Bombyx mori: one gene and its partners. The protein of the gene in region 1 purifies or fractionates together with the protein of each later gene. This does not show direct contact. Links are inferred from orthologs where the notes say so. Each region holds a gene or a part of one and is shown on either strand. Other genes may lie near its edges. The genes, in order: exocyst complex component 8, exocyst complex component 2 and exocyst complex component 3.

Region 1 (6,699 bases):
ATAGGTATCATACTACCGACCCGCCCTCGCTTCGCTTCGGAAACTGTAATTTATTATTGATTTCTCCACTATTTAATGGATGTTATTATACATATAAACCTTCCTCTTCAATCACTCTATCTATTAAAAAAAACCGCATCAAAATCCATTGCGTAGTTTTAAAGATTTAAGCATACATAGGGATATAGGGACAGAGAAAGCGACTTTGTTTTATACTATGTAGTGATGCTCAGTGGTGAGATTAAAGGTAGCCTAGTCTTTACAAAGAGGCGAACTATTTCATTATCAAATTTCGTCAAAATCGGTTCAGTGGTCTGAGTGTGAAGACGTAACAAATACGACAATTATACTTTCACAGGTATCCAAGACGTATTAGGCCTCCTGCCGGGCCCTACAGTGGACGAGCTACAAACCCTACAACCTCGTATGACACGTCGCCATTCCGGTTCCAGTGAGAATTCATCATCAATAGAAAACCCACGGGTCGTGCTCGTATTCTTCATTGGAGGCTGTACGTACCACGAGATCTCAGTGCTCAGGACGATCAGCCAGCAGGAAGATTCGGTTGTGGAATTTGTTATCTTAACCACTAAAATAATCAATGGAACCACATTCATAGAATCTTTAATGGAACTCGATTGAGCCAAAAATTGGTGTATCCTTAACATAGGATATAATAATATATTAATATACATTCTGTCATATTAAAAAGAAATAGACTGAATCATATTTTTATTCAATTATGAAATAATGTCATGAATTTATTTTTATGACATAATAGTGTTCCAAATAAAAACAAGCCCAAATAGTATAGATGTCAAATTATATCCCTTTTATATGTAATTATGTCAAAAAATATATGAAATAAATTAATTGCAAACGTAAAATAAATTTTCAATACACAAAGCATGAAACATATAATATTAACTGATAAATGTACACAATGTATCATATAATTTGCTGTATTCTATGATATTTCTTGCTTAAAAAGTTCCTGTATTTACAAATTTAGAATACACCAAAAATATTATTCTGGTAAATATTATTATTATTATTTAAAATATAGATTCTTTTTTTAATATATCACATTAAATATAAGTCTCTGTTTGTTTTATTGTTATAGATGTGTAAATAATTAAATTGTAATACAATTAGGTTTAGTTGCTTCATGTATTTTATTGCTTCAATTTGCTGTTAAATATGGGCGAAGAAATGATAATTTCTCTAGTTATATTTTGTAACATGCAAAATTGACTGCACTAGTAATAAAAATCATAATACTGGAAATATATTTTATTCTTGTCTTTACAATTTCAAAGAACACTTAAACAGATCACCATAAATAATGATTGTATTAAAACTTAATATTCGTAACTTGCATATACATAAAATTTAATTTGATCAGTATTTATATAAACTAACATAATTCTGCTTGCTTACTCTCTATTATATTACAAATTTAAAGCTTCAGCATAATATAAATAATTTCATACATCTTATTTATAGACTATTGACTATTCTCATAAATATTCATTACTTGTGTATTTTGTGATGTTTTTGGATGGTGTAATACTGACACCATAGTTCTTTGCCAAAGCTACTAATTTCTCATTATCATAGCCAACTTCTTCTTTATAACATCTAAGCATTAAAGGCATCACTGTTTCTAAAATGAATTTGAAATTCTTCTTTGCATAACTAATATCGTTGACTGATGCGAGGACAAGCCATGAATTGAATATTGTATAAATGTATTCATCAAGGTTATCCATCATATCTTTGTTCACTAACTGGAGACCTATTTTCTGTATAGTGACAATAGACTTTGTAAACCATATGGTACTACTTGATAAATCTACCCATGTTTCATTAATTACATACTTAGCTAATATAAGGCCCAAAGTTTCCATTTGTTTCAGGAATTTATTGACACCTGCTTTGGTGTGCATATTCACTGGAGTCCATTTGTCTTCAGTGATTTTATTTTTCATAGAGTCAACAGTCTTCTCTTTATATTCTCTCAAAGCTTTTATTATTGGTGTTCTCAAACAACTGTTCAACTGGAATCTTAAATCTAAACCAAATTGACAAAACAATGTACATTGTTCCCTTAGACTCTCAACACAATCCTGAACGGAATCTAATGCACACTGAGGTGTGAACACTTGTTTTATAATCTGACTCATCAATATCCTAAGTTGCAGACTAGCCCAGACTATAAAAGCACTTATTTTATTTTTAGGAAATAGTGAAATAAACTCTGTTAAGGCATCACTCAATGAGCAAAAAAACACTTCACCCACTTGTTTGACATAAGTGTTAATTGACCCTTCCAGTTGCACCCTTTTCACATGAACTTTGACTGTGTAACTGCATATCGTCAAAAACAAGTCACAAGCCTGACTGGTCATATTAAACTTATTGAGTATCAGTACCGGTTGTCTAGTTGATTGGAGACCTCCTCGCAAACTCCAATTATGTGTTACATCTAAATCTTTCAATAATATTTCAATTAAACTCTTTTGCTTCTGTTCTATTTTTTTCAATATATCAACCCTTTGTGGATGGTTTTTAAAATCTTCAGTATTTAAAGCTTTTTGAGCTGAAACCATCAACTCATAGGTCTTTTGAAAATGTCTCTCCACAATCAAAACATCAAGCTCTTCAGTAACATCAGCCAACCACTCAGGCAATGGTGTAATTTGGGGTGATGGCATCTCTTCCACAGACAGACTCGGTGATTCAATAGATTCAGATTTTGATTTTTCTTGACTATCTTTTTTCTTCTGTTTAGAATTTTCTTTTTCAATATACAGTTTTTTTGCTATCTCAAATTTGTCTAGCCAATCTTTTTTTATCGCAAAACTATTGCATTGAAATACTCTGGTGTCTGGGAAGGCTAACACTTTAAATGCTTGTTTCACAGTTCCTAAATCTCTTACATTCACCACTGCTAAATTCTTTATTGGGTAACTCACTTGAAACTTATATCTCATTGGACCACGTCTGTTAGAAATCCAGGATGTTAACATAAGGCAGTCATTAAATAAATATACATGCATTCTTTGTAATGCAGTATTTTCTTCTGCATCTATTTCTAGCAAGTCACCTTCATGAAGCAGAGTTCGGTCTGGGACATCTAACAGATTCATGCATGATTCTACCTTTTCTGTAATGAGATTTAATTTATTTTTTCGTTCCTCTTCTGCCCTCTCAGCCTCGACGTCGTGATTATCAAGAGACTCGCGTGATAAACCGTTCTCGTTACCGAGGATTGAGGCGTGGGAGAGCACAGTCAGCACAGAACGCTGTTCGCTTAACAAATGCGATAGCTTGTACATTTCTGTTTCGAGGTGGGATATCTCCGTCGCAGTCTCGATAAACTGCATATAATTCTCGTAGACATTTTTCTTTAGGGCACTTGCGGTTTCTTCGGCTAAATTTTGTATTTTCTCCTTCTGTTGCTGTAGCTCCTCCCCTCCGACGCAGGATCTAGCGAGGTCTTTTACGTAACGTTCGGGGACGAAGTCTGGGACAGCAAACTTATCCATATCTATCTCGGACATCGTTGCACATGTATTTATTGTATACTTCTTTCGTATTTATCACAAAACACTGGCTCGCACATCATTCGATTCTATAGGTAGGTATCGAACGACAGGACGTTTTCTATCAAAACGATATGTCAAAAATGCGTTTTGTTATCTCAGCTTCTTTTAAAGTCAGTTTGTTGGCAACGCGCTGCCAACGTTGCTATCAAAACGTTTTCTCAAATTTTATGTACAGTAGACGCGCGAGCTTGTCCATCCTGAGGAATGCGGTAGTGCTGTGACCTAGTTAATTATGGTAATGTCGATAATAACTACCGATTTAGTCAACAGCTGTCAATTTGGTTTAATGTAACCAGGTCACTTCGCAAATTATAAAATAAATGCGATAAGTAATGACTTATTTCTTCCTAATAGAGAAAAATATTTTTTAAATTCCAATTCAACTACTATGAGATGAAAAGACAACCAACAGATCAGAGTCCGAATCAGTGTAGGTTTTTTTCTACCTGAACTTGTTGGAAGCGGAGTATTCGTGGTTTATTCACCATGAAATAACACAATAGCGTTAGCGTAAGTTTTTGGTATCGATAAGCGCGCGTCACAACTGTCAAAGACAACACTAGACGTCAAACAAACGCGGGGAGGCGGGGCGAGCTGCCCCCTGCGCGTCGCCTCCGGCCCCGATGTACATGAACTCGCGCGCATACTGTATAGTAATCGGCACGAGTTGTGAGCTTTCGACAAAAGATTTGGGGTCATCTGCCCATCGTACAATTAGAGTCAAAATAAATGGTCCACTTATGTATTTAATATATTTTTTTATAATTAAATTAACTTCGTTCAATTTGGGATTTAAAAAAATATTGTTATGTAATTATGTATTAGTATTTTTTATACTATTAATTTTTTTATTTTTTTTTTTTATTTATTGCTTAGATGGGTGGACGAGCTCACGGCCCACCTGGTGTCAAGTGGTTACTGGAGCCCATAGACATCTACAACGTAAATGCGCCACCCACCTTGAGATATAAGTTCTAAGGTCTCAAGTATAGTTACAACGGCTGCCCTACCCTTCAAACCGAAACGCATTACTGCTTCACGGCAGAAATAGGCAGGGTGGTGGTACCTACCCGCGCGGACTCACAAGAGGCCCTACCACCAGTAATAAAACTGGATCCAACTTATTAATGGATGTTATGAAAAGTAACATCTAGACTATTCTAGACGTAACACCTACCCACCCAAAAATTCAGCTAAGGGCCCACCTGGTGTTAAGTAGTGTTAAAGACATCACAATCTGAAACAACCTAGAGAAACATAAGTCTTAAGGTATCAAAGTCTGCTTTGTATTGTATAATGGCTGTCACACCCTTCAAACTGGAACACATGACACCTTCGAGGCAGGAATAGATTTTAATAATGGCCCTTACCCGTGCGAGCTAACCCTACATTCTGCCACCCATAAATCTACTGCGATGAGTGCTTTGCAGCAGAAATAGGCAGGGTAATGGGCTGGGTCATAAAACTTAAATAAATTATAATAAAAAAGGCATCCTGAGGGATTTCAATACCTGCTTGACGATGTCACTCGATGCGAGTACGCCGTATCTAATGCATTAGGCCCTCGAGTCATTTACTTGAAGCTATTCCAAAGGTACTTCTTACTTTTTATTTTTTTATTGCTTAGATGGGTGGACGAGCTCACAGCCCACCTGGTGTTAAGTGGTTACTGGAGCCCATAGACATCCACAACGTAAATGCGCCACCCACCTTGAGATACAAGTTCTAAGGTCTCAAGTATAGTTACAACGGCTGCCGCACCCTTCAAACCGAAACTCTTCACGGCAGAAATAGGCAGGGTGGTGGTACCCACCCGCGCGGACTCACAAGAGGACCTACCAACATTAAAAACTTACTTACTGATTGTATGGCGTCTTGTGAGCCTGCACTGGTAGGTGCCTTGCCTATTTATACCACGAAATAATCATACGTTTAGGTTTGAATGTTTCGGTTTCGGTATTTCAGTTGTTGGTGTCTATGGGCTTCGGTATCTATTTATCATCCCTAGAAAATAAAACAGGCACCTATAGAAGGTTGAGTTGAGAATGAATGCTCGCCCACGTCTTAATGCATGCAAATTAAGATACTGTTCAAAATTCCTTTAAATATATGAGACGTTTTCAATATGTAACGAGAGACATTGGCACTTACGGAATTCTATAGATTTATACATACATATTCGTGTAGTTTCTGCGTAAAATCTGCGTTACAGGCCCTGCTTATCCTGGTGGTAAATATTCTGGGCTCTGTAAATACTGTACGTGGCGCGAGACGGCGAGACTCAACTCGAGGACTTTAGATTTTCTTTTTTTCTAGATATGTAAGTTTATTTAACCGCAGCCCTATAACAAAACCGGTAATTTTGCAGTAAACAAAACGTATTAATACGTTGTTTTTGTAGAGTTTGAATAAAAAAGATTCGATTGCAAATAATATCAAAGTACCTAGACCCTAGGTATATCAGAATTTTAATTTTAGATAAATTAAGAATTACTCTAGCACTACCGCGAGAGGATTGCCGCATTAAGTAGCAAAAATATAACTCTACAAATAAAAAATAATCAACCATTCATATTTTTATTTAGTTTATTAGCACCAGGCTCGTAAAATGTTATAGTTATCGATTAAAGGCAGTTCATTGTTGTCTCGATTTATTCTTGTTTCTCTTCAGTCACTCCATTAGCAGCTGCAGCTTCGGAGGCGGGTACTGTGTAGTTACCATTCCTCTTGTACCGGTAGTAGCGGGTCGAGGCCACTACTGATTGAGATTCATAACAGTTCACAAGAGCATCGCCATTGTGTCCTGGGAATGCAAAAAGAAATATCTACAGTACGGTACAAAAATACAGTAATGTTATATTTTATGGCATAAGCAAAGAGGTTTGAAAAGGACATCCTAACTTTTTCAATGCACTTGTATCCGCAGTGCTTCGCAGAGTCTACCACCGGATCGGAATCACGACCCACTGAGAGGATCCGGCGAGGAACTCAGTGGAATGTGTCTATGGGCTAGTTCGCTCTGGACGGTGGACGGTGATCGTTGCTTGAGAGACCTAAAAGCACCGAGAGTGAATCCAGGGGATTCGAC
Region 2 (5,433 bases), on another chromosome or scaffold:
AGGGACCCTGGCAACCGTATTTGTGGAACTCGGCAAAGATTTCGACGTGCAACCTAACCTAAACATCAGCCCGCTGAGCTTCTCGCCGGATCTTCTCAGTGGGTCACGATTCCGATCCGGTAGCAGATTCATTCGCGAAGCAGCTACTTTTGAGTTGTTAAATCTCCCTTGGAAGCGCTCGGGTAGATGTTAGCAAATCCCACCCTTCCTTGCTGAGCTCTTGCTCGCCCACCTGTCCTTATGGAACTGGAAAGGCCTCCGGGCCACCAGTATTCACACAATCATAAAAAAGGCTGGTCCACCCGTCTTATGTATAATAACGATCGTCAGACTGACAGCGTGTGTGGCGCGTCGGCGGGGCGCTACGTGCGCGACATCTGCGAGACTGTGTGCGAGGAGGTGGCGCGGCTGGCGGCGTGCGCTCCCCCCGCGCTGCCCCGCCCCGCCGCCTTCCGCGCCACGCTCGAGTACACGCTGCTCTCCGTCGCCATCAGGGACCACCTCACCAGGAAGGCAGAGTCAGTTAACTATTTTCATTTGTTTCTTTATTAGCGATGCGGCCAGAGGAACAATACCCGATCCGGTGGATCGAATGGTAAACAGTCGATGTCGCCCTAAACACGTAATTTCGGATCCTCTCGATCCGGTAACGTTGCTTTTAGGTACCTCAAGCACCGATCATCGTTTGCGTTGAACCCGTCGCTTGCGACGACGGGCTTAACGTGTAAATTAACCCACAGACACAGCCCACTGAGTTTCTCGCCGGACCTTCTCAGTGGGTTGTGTTTCTGATCCGGTGGTAGATCATTTACTGGTGGTAGGACCCCTTGTGAGTCCGCGCGGGTAGGTACCACCAACCTGCCTATTTCTGCCGTGAAGCAGTAATGCGTTTCGGTTTGAAGGGTGGGGCAGCCGTTGTAACTATACTGAGACCTTAGAACTTATATCTCCAGGTGGGTGGCGTATTTACGTTGTAGATGTCTATGGGCTCCAGTAACCACTTAACAACAGGTGGGCTGTGAGCTCGTCCACCCACCGAAGCAATAAAAAAAAATTCAAAGAAATTTTACATTAAACATTTTCGTATAGACCTCAAATAGAAAAACTGAAATCATGATTGTTCGACCTGATGTCTGTAATCTTCAGAGTTAGGATGCTGGACCACAAAGTTGACTATTTAAAAAAGGTGGTTTGAAAACACATTTGAACCGAACGATAATTCTTAAGGCTAAAAAATGTATATTATAAATCGTTGACAAACAATTTCAGTCATAAGAAACATTATGTTTTATTGCGTAAAATATTTAATTTCAATAATTGTCTTCTCGGTTGCAGAAACTACTTAAAGGAGGCTCTAGCGGCCGTGCCGCCGCTTGAACTTGAAGAAGATAAAATGTGAGTAAAACTATTGATCAGATTCACATTACGCAGTGAACAGAATTTTATGGCGGGCGTAGTTTGTATAGGAACTATTTATCTATACTTCTATACTAATATGTATTATAAAGAGGAAAGATTTGTTTGTTTGTTTGTATTGAATAGGCTCCGAAACTAAAGGACCGATTTGAAACATTCTTTCACTGTTTGGGAGCTACACTATTCCCGAGTGACATAGGCTATAATCTTTTTTGAAAAAAAAAACTGGGGATCCTTACTAAAGCTCCAATAATATAACCCAAGGTGTAAACAAATTACTTAAAATATTATTTACATCGCGTGCCCTGCGAAAATTATTGATGATAGAATAAAATAATGTACTACGACTTTGTAGAACATCTTATTATTTACAAAAGTGTCGCGACAGAATATGTCTAACTATTACAGTCATGCCGCAATAAGCGTTCTTTTATTTTTAAAAATAACACAACGTCAAATATCGTTGAAATTTTTGTTAAAGACCCGAGCGGAGCCGGAGCGGGCCGCTAGTTAATTATATTTTAACTATATCACTCACCGTACCACTTCTTGCGTTACAGACGTATGCAAAGTATTGTACAGGATTTCAAGAAACGAATGGCACTTCAGCTGGCGAGTTTGAATTGTAACACGGAGACAGTTTAATTTACGAATTCACTTCAGTATTATCAAAGAATTCATTTTGAATGACGAAATTAAATATGATAATGGCTTTTGAATAGAATTAAAGTGGACACAGCGAATATGTTTATTTTATTTACATTTGTCTTATTTTAATGTAGAAAATAGTTATTTTAATCTTAAATGCATAAAAATACAGGGGTGGACAGACGTTTGTCTTCAAAATCTAGCAAAAGTAGCAAATGTTATGATGGCGGAATTATTTGCACACAAACCACAGACCATGAAATCACAAGAAACCACAGACTTATAAAATGTTTGAAACATTACAGTGCAAAAATTTTTCTGGGTCAATTTTTTTTGCTTCTAAGACGTGTAATCTCTGTTATATCAGCTGTAATATGGAAAACTTTTGCTAAAAAAGTTTTTTTTTCGGAAATGTCGTTTCTTTTGTATTTCACTTTGGAAAGTTCTTTTTTTTTGTATGAGAGATTGAAATTTTAAAACCAATCGCATAAATTTTAGGAAATCTCATCTATAACTAATATCTAATTCGTGAAACAAAAAATAAGATCAAAATTTTAAACCATGGCAGTGTTGATAACAAACACTATTAAAAGAATTGAGTCTTCCACCTCTTTCTTGAGCCTCAGTGCCATGCAACACCAGACTGTCACAGAGTTCGTTAATTAACCGATATTTATAAAAAATCACTAAAGTCCGGCCGCTGGAAGAATGCACTCGTGATTTTACGATTTTTGTTACGATGTAACTTTGAAGTAGGGTTTAATTTACGTTTATTATTTTTTTGACCTACAAATGTATAATTATGATTAATAAGTAAAAGGTTATGTCAATTTAAAATAAATATCATAATCTTGCGCTAAATTAAAGTTAAATCTTTCATTCCCCGACCCTACCTCTACCGTGTAGATGTCAATATAAATTGTCACGATAAATTTACACGAAATGTCACTATGAATTAATTCTCCGTCTCCACCTCTACCATACCGTGTAGATGTCAATATAAATTAAGATTTTTTTTAAATGTATATTTATTTATTCATATATTTAAAATCAAAGGAAACACTAAGCAAAGTATTTTATTATTGTTTCTATAACATAACATTATTCATAATAAACGATTATATTGTTATCTAAATCAATGTGTTTTTATTTCTAAATCTTGCTCTTCTTGTAGTTCTGAAAATTAAATACCTATTAAAATGTTTTTATTTTATTTATTTTTTATTGCCTTTGTAGGCAGACGGGCATACGGCCCACCTGATGGTGAGTGGTTACCGTCGCCCATGGACTTCAGCAATGCCAGGGGCAGAGCCAAGCCGCTGCCTATCGCTAAATGAATAAGAATTCGTCATGTGATACTATTCTACAATAGCGAAACTGCCTTAACGCTATTGCCAATATTTTGAACAATGTCAATACATTCCTGGATACTGCCAGCCGCACCTCTGCTTGAACAGGCTTCATGTTACGTACATAAGATATTCAGAGTAACTAATCTTGGACCATCTTTAAACCAACAGCTCCTTATTTGAAAGGTATCGGAAATGTTCTCGTACCAAATATTTCACAATTTTCATTGTAGACAATATAAATATATTGTACCCAACAGCAAATTGTTTAAAAACAGCATCGAATTTATCAGTAAAACGACGTAGCAATTAACGTTTCAAAATTGGAGACCAGGAATAGTGGACTTGTAGAGTGAATAAGTATATTATTTGTGGTGTGAAATGCTCCTACCCCTCTGGAATTATCTGGGATTTTTTATTTCTTTTAATTTTTAACCTGCGCTCACCGATTATGTGTAAACTTTATTTTTACATTTAAATATTACATTCCTTTTTTTTTATGAATGAAAGATTACTGGTGGCCCGGAGGCCTTTCCAGTTTCATCAGGTCAGGTGGGCGAGCAAAGGCTCAGCCTGGAGGGGTATTACATTCCCCCCACCAGACCTGTATATAGATGTCACTTGTTTCTGAAAATATTCTAGAATACTTGCTATTTTTATTCTGGAAAACGTCACTTTGTATATATGATATTTGGTAAATTTTATTATCGCTATTATGTTCGTAAAACTTTTTTTTGTTGCCCTTGTAGCCAGACGAGCATACGGCCCACCTGATGGTGACTGGTTACCGTCGCCCATGGAATTCAGCAATGCCAGGGGCAGAGCCAAGCTGCGGCCTACCGAAAAGCTAAACAGTTAGACGTAGCTATATAATAAACAAGCGACCCGCCCTCGCTTCGCTTCGGAAACTGTAATTTATTATTGATTTCTCCGCTATTTAATGGATGTAATTTATTATACATACAAACCTTCCTCTTCAATCACTCTATCTATTAAAAAAAACCGCATCAAAATCCGTTGCGTAGTTTTAAAGATTTAAGCATACATAGGGACAGACAGATATAGGAACAGAGAAAGCGACTTTGTTTTATACTATGTAGTGATGACTTAACAAATTTTTAGCACGATTGTCATCTATATATATAAAAATGAATTGCTGTTCGTTAGTCTCGCTAAAACTCGAGAACGGCTGGACTGATTTGTCTAATTTTGGTCTTAAATTATTCGTGGAAGTCCACAAAATGTTTAAAAGGTGAATAAATATGAAAATGTTCGGAATTATATAAAAACAAACAATTTTGTTTTTCCTTTGATGTGTCTCCTGTTGGACGGATTCCTTTTGTTTTTTATAAGTTTATTTTATACAAAAGTTTAGGTCTTTTATTTATCGATTGAGGCAGTACAAAGTCTGCCGGGTCAGCTAGTAATTAATAACTACTTGTAGTAGAAATCGCGATATGTACCTGAGAGGCTAGTTTGTGGAGTAAATTCGACATCGACGGGCCTGTTTCCTGCACCATTTTACGAAATTGCCCTCTCTTGTTTTGCAGAAGTATATGAGGATGGTCGAACTCTACCAGACGACCCGCGTCTAGCACCAAAATCTACATCGAACACAGCATTTTATTATAACAATAATATATGACGGAGCGAGCGGTTCGTTTGTGTTTCTAAAATGAAGGACGAGCTCACAGCCCACCTGGTGTAAAGTGGTTACTGGAGCCCATAGACATCTAAAACGCAAATGCCGCCACCCACCCTGAGACATGAGTTCTAAGGTCTCAGTATAGTTACAACGGCTGCCCCACCCTTCAAACCGAAATGCATTACTGCTTCACGGCAGAAATAAGCGGGGCGGTGGTACCTACCCGTGCGGACTCACAAGAGGTCCTACCACCAGTTAAACCAGGGGCACAACTAAAATGCTGCTACCTGCTGACTTACCTTGTTAGAATCTATAACAGTGTTCAATCTGTGCGCAATGGTAAGCACAGTGCATTCTTTGAAGTGTTCCCTTATG
Region 3 (5,163 bases), on another chromosome or scaffold:
CACCGGATAGGAATGAATGTCATTATTATAAAAATATTAATTTTAAGTTCTATTCGAGGTAAAAAGAAAATAAAACTGGAGATTTCGCGACAAACCACGGTCATTCGGTAACGTGCGAACTTATTGTGGTACACTTCATTCTCGCTTGTTTGCATTAGAGTTAGTGTATTGCGCAAACGAACGCTCTGAGATCGTGGTCAATGAATGATAAAAAAATACGTTATTTTTTGTACGTTATCGCAAAGTTAAGTGGTACACTGTGTGCATTACTAATAAAAATCTTACGTTACGAACGCGTTTTCCCTGTTAGGGTACCTCTCCGCATCGTCCCATAAGGAACTTCATTCCAAAAACCTTATAATTTAAATCAGTTATACTTCTAAAGTCACATTAGTAAAATTTAGAACTGTAGTAGAGAACAGAAATTTTCAACGAAAATTTGTTTGAACGAAATGTATTGTCTGCTTTTGTCGAATTTACCGACAAAAACTATATATTTAATAAATTTATTTTTTAAATTTAATGTGCTGCGTGGTGTTTCAGGTTTTACCAATTCATTGAAGATACGAGTTTTTTTTTTCTCTGCTTTTAAGTAATATTTTGAAGTACAGAAACGATCACAAGTCAAATAAAATTGAACTAATTGTTACTAGCACACCTAATATGTGTACTATTTGTTTGTCCTCCGACACAGAATTTGCGAGACGAAGCTGCTAAATTTCTTCTTGAAGAAGCATTCCTCGACCTTGAAGTTCATTTTGATGACCTGTTCACTTCCAAATGGCTGCCTTCCAGCATTCCAGTAGATACCATCTGCATTACACTCGATGACTATTTCCAAGATTACAACCATTTGAGAGAGAAAAATTTCGAATATGTGATAAACGAAGCTCAGAACTTAGTTTATAGGAAGTACATAACGGCAATGTTGTCCAAGAAAATGGCATTCAAAACTGTTGAGGAAGCACAACAAGCTGCCAATAAGATATTGAAAGAAGGAAAACAAATACGGTCCTTCTTCAAGAAGATAGCGCCCGAGGGTGTTAATGTAGATTGGCCATTTGAAGTCATCTCTATGCTTGCTGAGGTAATTCTTTTGTCAAAAACTTCTCTTTTTAACTTAATTACTTACTTAAATTATGAAATAATATGAATAATTATGAAAGTTAAAAAAATATAAGCGGAGACATAAAGAGGTGGAACTCTACGAATAAATAACGGTAGAAGCAGCGGCTTGGCGTTGCCTCTGGCATTGTTGAAGGCCATGTGCGACGGTAACCACTCACCATCAGGTGTGCCTTTTTTTTCCTACTTAAGCTGATAGACTTGAGAGGTTATTTTACCGTAACCTTAACTAGTAGGTGAGCTCACGGGGCTCAAACCTGACGAAGTTGCTAACACGAACCCTAGCAAGAGCCGTGCTTCGCCGAAATCTACCACCAGATCGGAAACGCGACCCACTGAGAAGATCCGGCGGTGAAACTCAGTGGGCTGTGTCTGTGGGTGAATTTACTCGTCGAGCCCTTCGTCGCAAGCGACTGGTTCGACGAGAACGATGATCGGTGCTTGAGGTACCTAGAAGCACCCAGGTGTGCCGTATGCTCGTCTGTCTACAAGGACAATAAATAAGAAAAGGCTAATAAACCAGTTGTCGGAACCCATAGACAGCCCATCATAAATATACTCGCTCACCTTGGGACATGCGGTCGAAATCTCCCGCAACTCAGACTGGATTGTAGATACTTCTTTTTAATAGTAAATAATTAAATCGCAATTTTGATTTGATTCATCACAGTTTGGGATTAGTAATATCCATGAGGGACAATAACGACATACCATCGGGTATACATGTTCATTTGGGTTGCACTACAGAGATTCTTATCAGATACTATGTGTACTTCATGGTTTTTTAGTCATCCTGTTATATAAAATAAAGGAAAAAACCTGATAAAGGTCTCGCAAAAATATTAATATTATAATCTCTGCATTTGGAGATCAAAATTATCGTTTGTTCTTTGGCCTAAAAGCTAAGCTTGCTTTAATATTTTGTGACGTCACCTTTTAGTAAAATATGGTATACATATTATATTAAGTGCACTGAATTTCTCACCGGATCTTCTCAGCGGGTCGTGATTCCGATCCTGGCTAGTGTTAGCAAATTCTCTCAGGTTGAGCCCGTGAGCTTACTAACCCGTTCGGTCGTAGCTGGAATAGCCTCTTAGGCTACCAGCGAATAGGTAGGGGGGAAAACAACAGTAATTACTATTCATTACTATACTAGTAATTACTATTCCCACTCAATCAGTTCGTCGCCATCCTTCGCCGCGCTCGCGCGTATCACTTTTTAATTAAATCCAGCGCGAATTATAATTTAGTTTAAAAAAAAAAGGTTCATAGAATCACGTATAACATTGGTGGCAGCGGTGGGATACGAACCCACGTCTCCGAAGAGACTGGTTTTAAAATAAATAAATAAAACGGTATGGATAAGGTTACGGAAAAGCTGATGCAGCAGAAATATGGTAGGGTCTGCATATCTCGTAGTCTCCTGTGAGAAATTGGGGGCGGTGAAGAACCTCGGCCCTGCTCTTCTCCCCTCTCAGGAGGCCCTGGAGTCCGACATTACCGGTCCGTTACCCCCCTCGACCGGGTATCCGTAAATGGATTCCCCAGCGTTAAAAAAAAAGGTCTGCATATCTAGGGTACTGAAGCCCGGATATAACAGAGTAATACAGTGTGAGTCGTGCAGGTGCTGCGGTGTCAAGACATCGAGATGTTGTCGCTGGACCTGCACAGCGTGGTGTCGAAGTGCGCGGACATGTCGGAGGAGCAGCTGGCGCGGCTGGTGTGGCTGCGCGGGGACGTGCCGCGGGCGCGCCTGCGGGACACCGTGGCCGTCGCGCTCGCCTCCCGCCCCGCGCCGCGCCCCACCGCGCACCCCGCACTCTTCGCGCACATCACCTTCAACGACAGCCTGCTCTCACACTTCGCGCGCTGACCTTATGTCTTCGCGCATTTTGTCGCACCTTATACCCTATACACCCATTTAAATTATATTATTTAATATGAATAAATACTTTAATAATAACGTTTGGTATTTATTTTGGCGTTGGTTTTGGAAGGAACTGCAAAGATTTACTAAATAAAAAAATCCATTTTATTTTAAACGACCCTTATTTTTGAGTTAGTATGTTTTAATACATCACTGCTAATTTATTTTTGGATTTTTTTTGTTAATATTGATTATCTAAGTTTGTCGCATTAATACGATATTTATTAATATAATGTAATAAGTAAATATTACTTTTCGTTTACATTAGAATCTATTATCGTGCCGATGTAATGGTCTATTTACACCATGCACCACAAGTTTGAATAAAACATAAACATCAAAAACCTACGAATCGCAAACAGATGTCTCTCGTTCGGTAGGTACTTAGAAAATATAAAAATAATAATTAGGACATTCTTCGGGTTAATGACTCTGGAACATAGGATCACAATGATCGGTATTATTTAGTGTGACTACCTCCGTACCTCGCACGGACTCAAGGCCGGTGTGTAGTCCGAAGGGCGGGCGGCGAGTCTCGCAGTCAGTCGCGTCCAACGCGCCTCGCTCTCGTATCCTCGTCACGCCGAAGTACGCTCCTGGCGTCGATATGTTTCGCGTGTGTTGCTTAATCTTGTTCTTAGTGGCAGGTGAGCAACTGTGTTTACAAAAATTGCGATACCGACTTATCTGACCTTAAACGTTTCTATTCTATACAACACCCGAGTAAATTTGACTTGAATAATAACAATATATTTAATTAATTTAAAGTATTTTAATTGACATCTTCTTTGGTAACTGGCTTTCTCAAGAGAGCGTACGCTCAGAAACCGAATTCGTTTACTAAAAGTCTACATTTCTTTTTAAAGAAACAAAGTATACGTAGCCATGTTAATCAATTGAAACATTTTCAAAATTACTCGCTTCCTATTTTAGTAACGCATAGATTAAGAAGAATTTTCAATTGATTTTGAAATTCTATTTAACCGGCACCTAACAAATTCCATTTATATTTTATATATGTATGTAATACTTAAATTTAATATTAAATATTTTTTGCGATATTGCAAATTTTACATTAGCGTACTATTAAGTGACAAGCAAACTTGTCGTTATTAATTTCATAATATTTACTATTTTTTGATGAAATACATCGAATTTGTTAGTTTTAATATAAAAATCCAACTACATTTGTATTGTAGAAAAATAGGGAATAGTTGTTAAATAGTAGAAAACATTTGATAGCGTCTTGCGTGTTAGTTCCACAGAACGTTCGTTCTACTCGCGGTGGTATTTTTAACATTCCCGGACCGCCTCAAGGTTAGCCAAGATAGTCGCTTATTCATTCGGATATGACCTAATTTTCCACAATAAATTGTTTATAGAATCCAAAACCAAATGCCAAACCATAAATAATCTCCATGCTGCGACATTTTTGGCTCTTTGACGAAAATCGCTATACCATTTGGTGGATTTATGGCGGGAAACTGCTACATACTGTAGATAATATTTACTTCTTTTACTAATTGCCAATGCAGTTCAGGACTGTACTGTCTTCGCAATTTTTGTCGTCAGTAATCATACGTTCGGGCTTGAAGACTAGTGAGATGTAAAATTGTATGCGTAGGTATATAGGATAATGTAGAGAGAGGAGAGGAGAGAGAGACTCAGACTGGAAAGACTCATAGTGATGGGTAAAGTGGATGGAAGACGATCCAAAGGTCGGAGCCAAAAAAAATGGAGTGGCCAAGTGTCCGAGCATCTTTTTATTTATTTATTTTTTATTGCTTAGATGGGTGGACGAGCTCACAGCCCGCCTGGTGTTAAGTGGTTACTGGAGCCTATAGACATCTACAACGTAAATGCGCCACCCACCTTGAGATATAAGTTCTAAGGTCTCAAGTATAGTTACAACGGCTGCCCTACCCTTCAAACCGAAACGCATTACTACTTCATGGCAGAAATAGGCAGGGCGGTGGTATCGTCATTATGGCGGGATCGCTGCAGGACCTACAAGAAATGGTGCACAGCCTTAATACTGCATCCCAACGGGTTGGCCTCGGAATGAACTTGGATAAAACCAAGGTAATGTTTAACGGAAACGTCATTCCGAG

What was found.
Region 2: the proteins of exocyst complex component 8 (region 1) and exocyst complex component 2 purify together in Homo sapiens (affinity purification with mass spectrometry; 7 studies listed by BioGRID and IntAct, counting the BioPlex papers as one, with this or other methods). This does not show direct contact. The link is inferred for Bombyx mori from reciprocal best matches to the Homo sapiens genes EXOC8 and EXOC2.
Region 3: the proteins of exocyst complex component 8 (region 1) and exocyst complex component 3 purify together in Homo sapiens (affinity purification with mass spectrometry; 5 studies listed by BioGRID and IntAct, counting the BioPlex papers as one, with this or other methods). This does not show direct contact. The link is inferred for Bombyx mori from reciprocal best matches to the Homo sapiens genes EXOC8 and EXOC3.

The regions. Positions count from the first base shown.
Region 1 is NC_085122.1:6,418,565-6,425,263, forward strand, and holds exocyst complex component 8, read right to left. Parts: upstream 3,826-6,699; 5' UTR 3,567-3,825; coding exon 1,521-3,566; 3' UTR 1,279-1,520; downstream 1-1,278. Other genes in the region: vacuolar protein sorting-associated protein 33A, read left to right, coding at 359-642. UniProt on the Homo sapiens protein: Component of the exocyst complex involved in the docking of exocytic vesicles with fusion sites on the plasma membrane.
Region 2 is NC_085121.1:12,816,481-12,821,913, forward strand, and holds the end of exocyst complex component 2, read left to right. Parts: intron 1-330; coding exon 331-518; intron 519-1,335; coding exon 1,336-1,395; intron 1,396-1,976; coding exon 1,977-2,061; 3' UTR 2,062-3,199; downstream 3,200-5,433. Other genes in the region: ATP-binding cassette sub-family C member 4, read right to left, coding at 3,217-3,240, 4,877-5,017, 5,358-5,433. UniProt on the Homo sapiens protein: Component of the exocyst complex involved in the docking of exocytic vesicles with fusion sites on the plasma membrane.
Region 3 is NC_085118.1:10,549,193-10,554,355, reverse strand, and holds the end of exocyst complex component 3, read left to right. Parts: intron 1-694; coding exon 695-1,087; intron 1,088-2,749; coding exon 2,750-2,998; 3' UTR 2,999-3,088; downstream 3,089-5,163. Other genes in the region: uncharacterized protein LOC101740585, read left to right, coding at 3,660-3,699. UniProt on the Homo sapiens protein: Component of the exocyst complex involved in the docking of exocytic vesicles with fusion sites on the plasma membrane.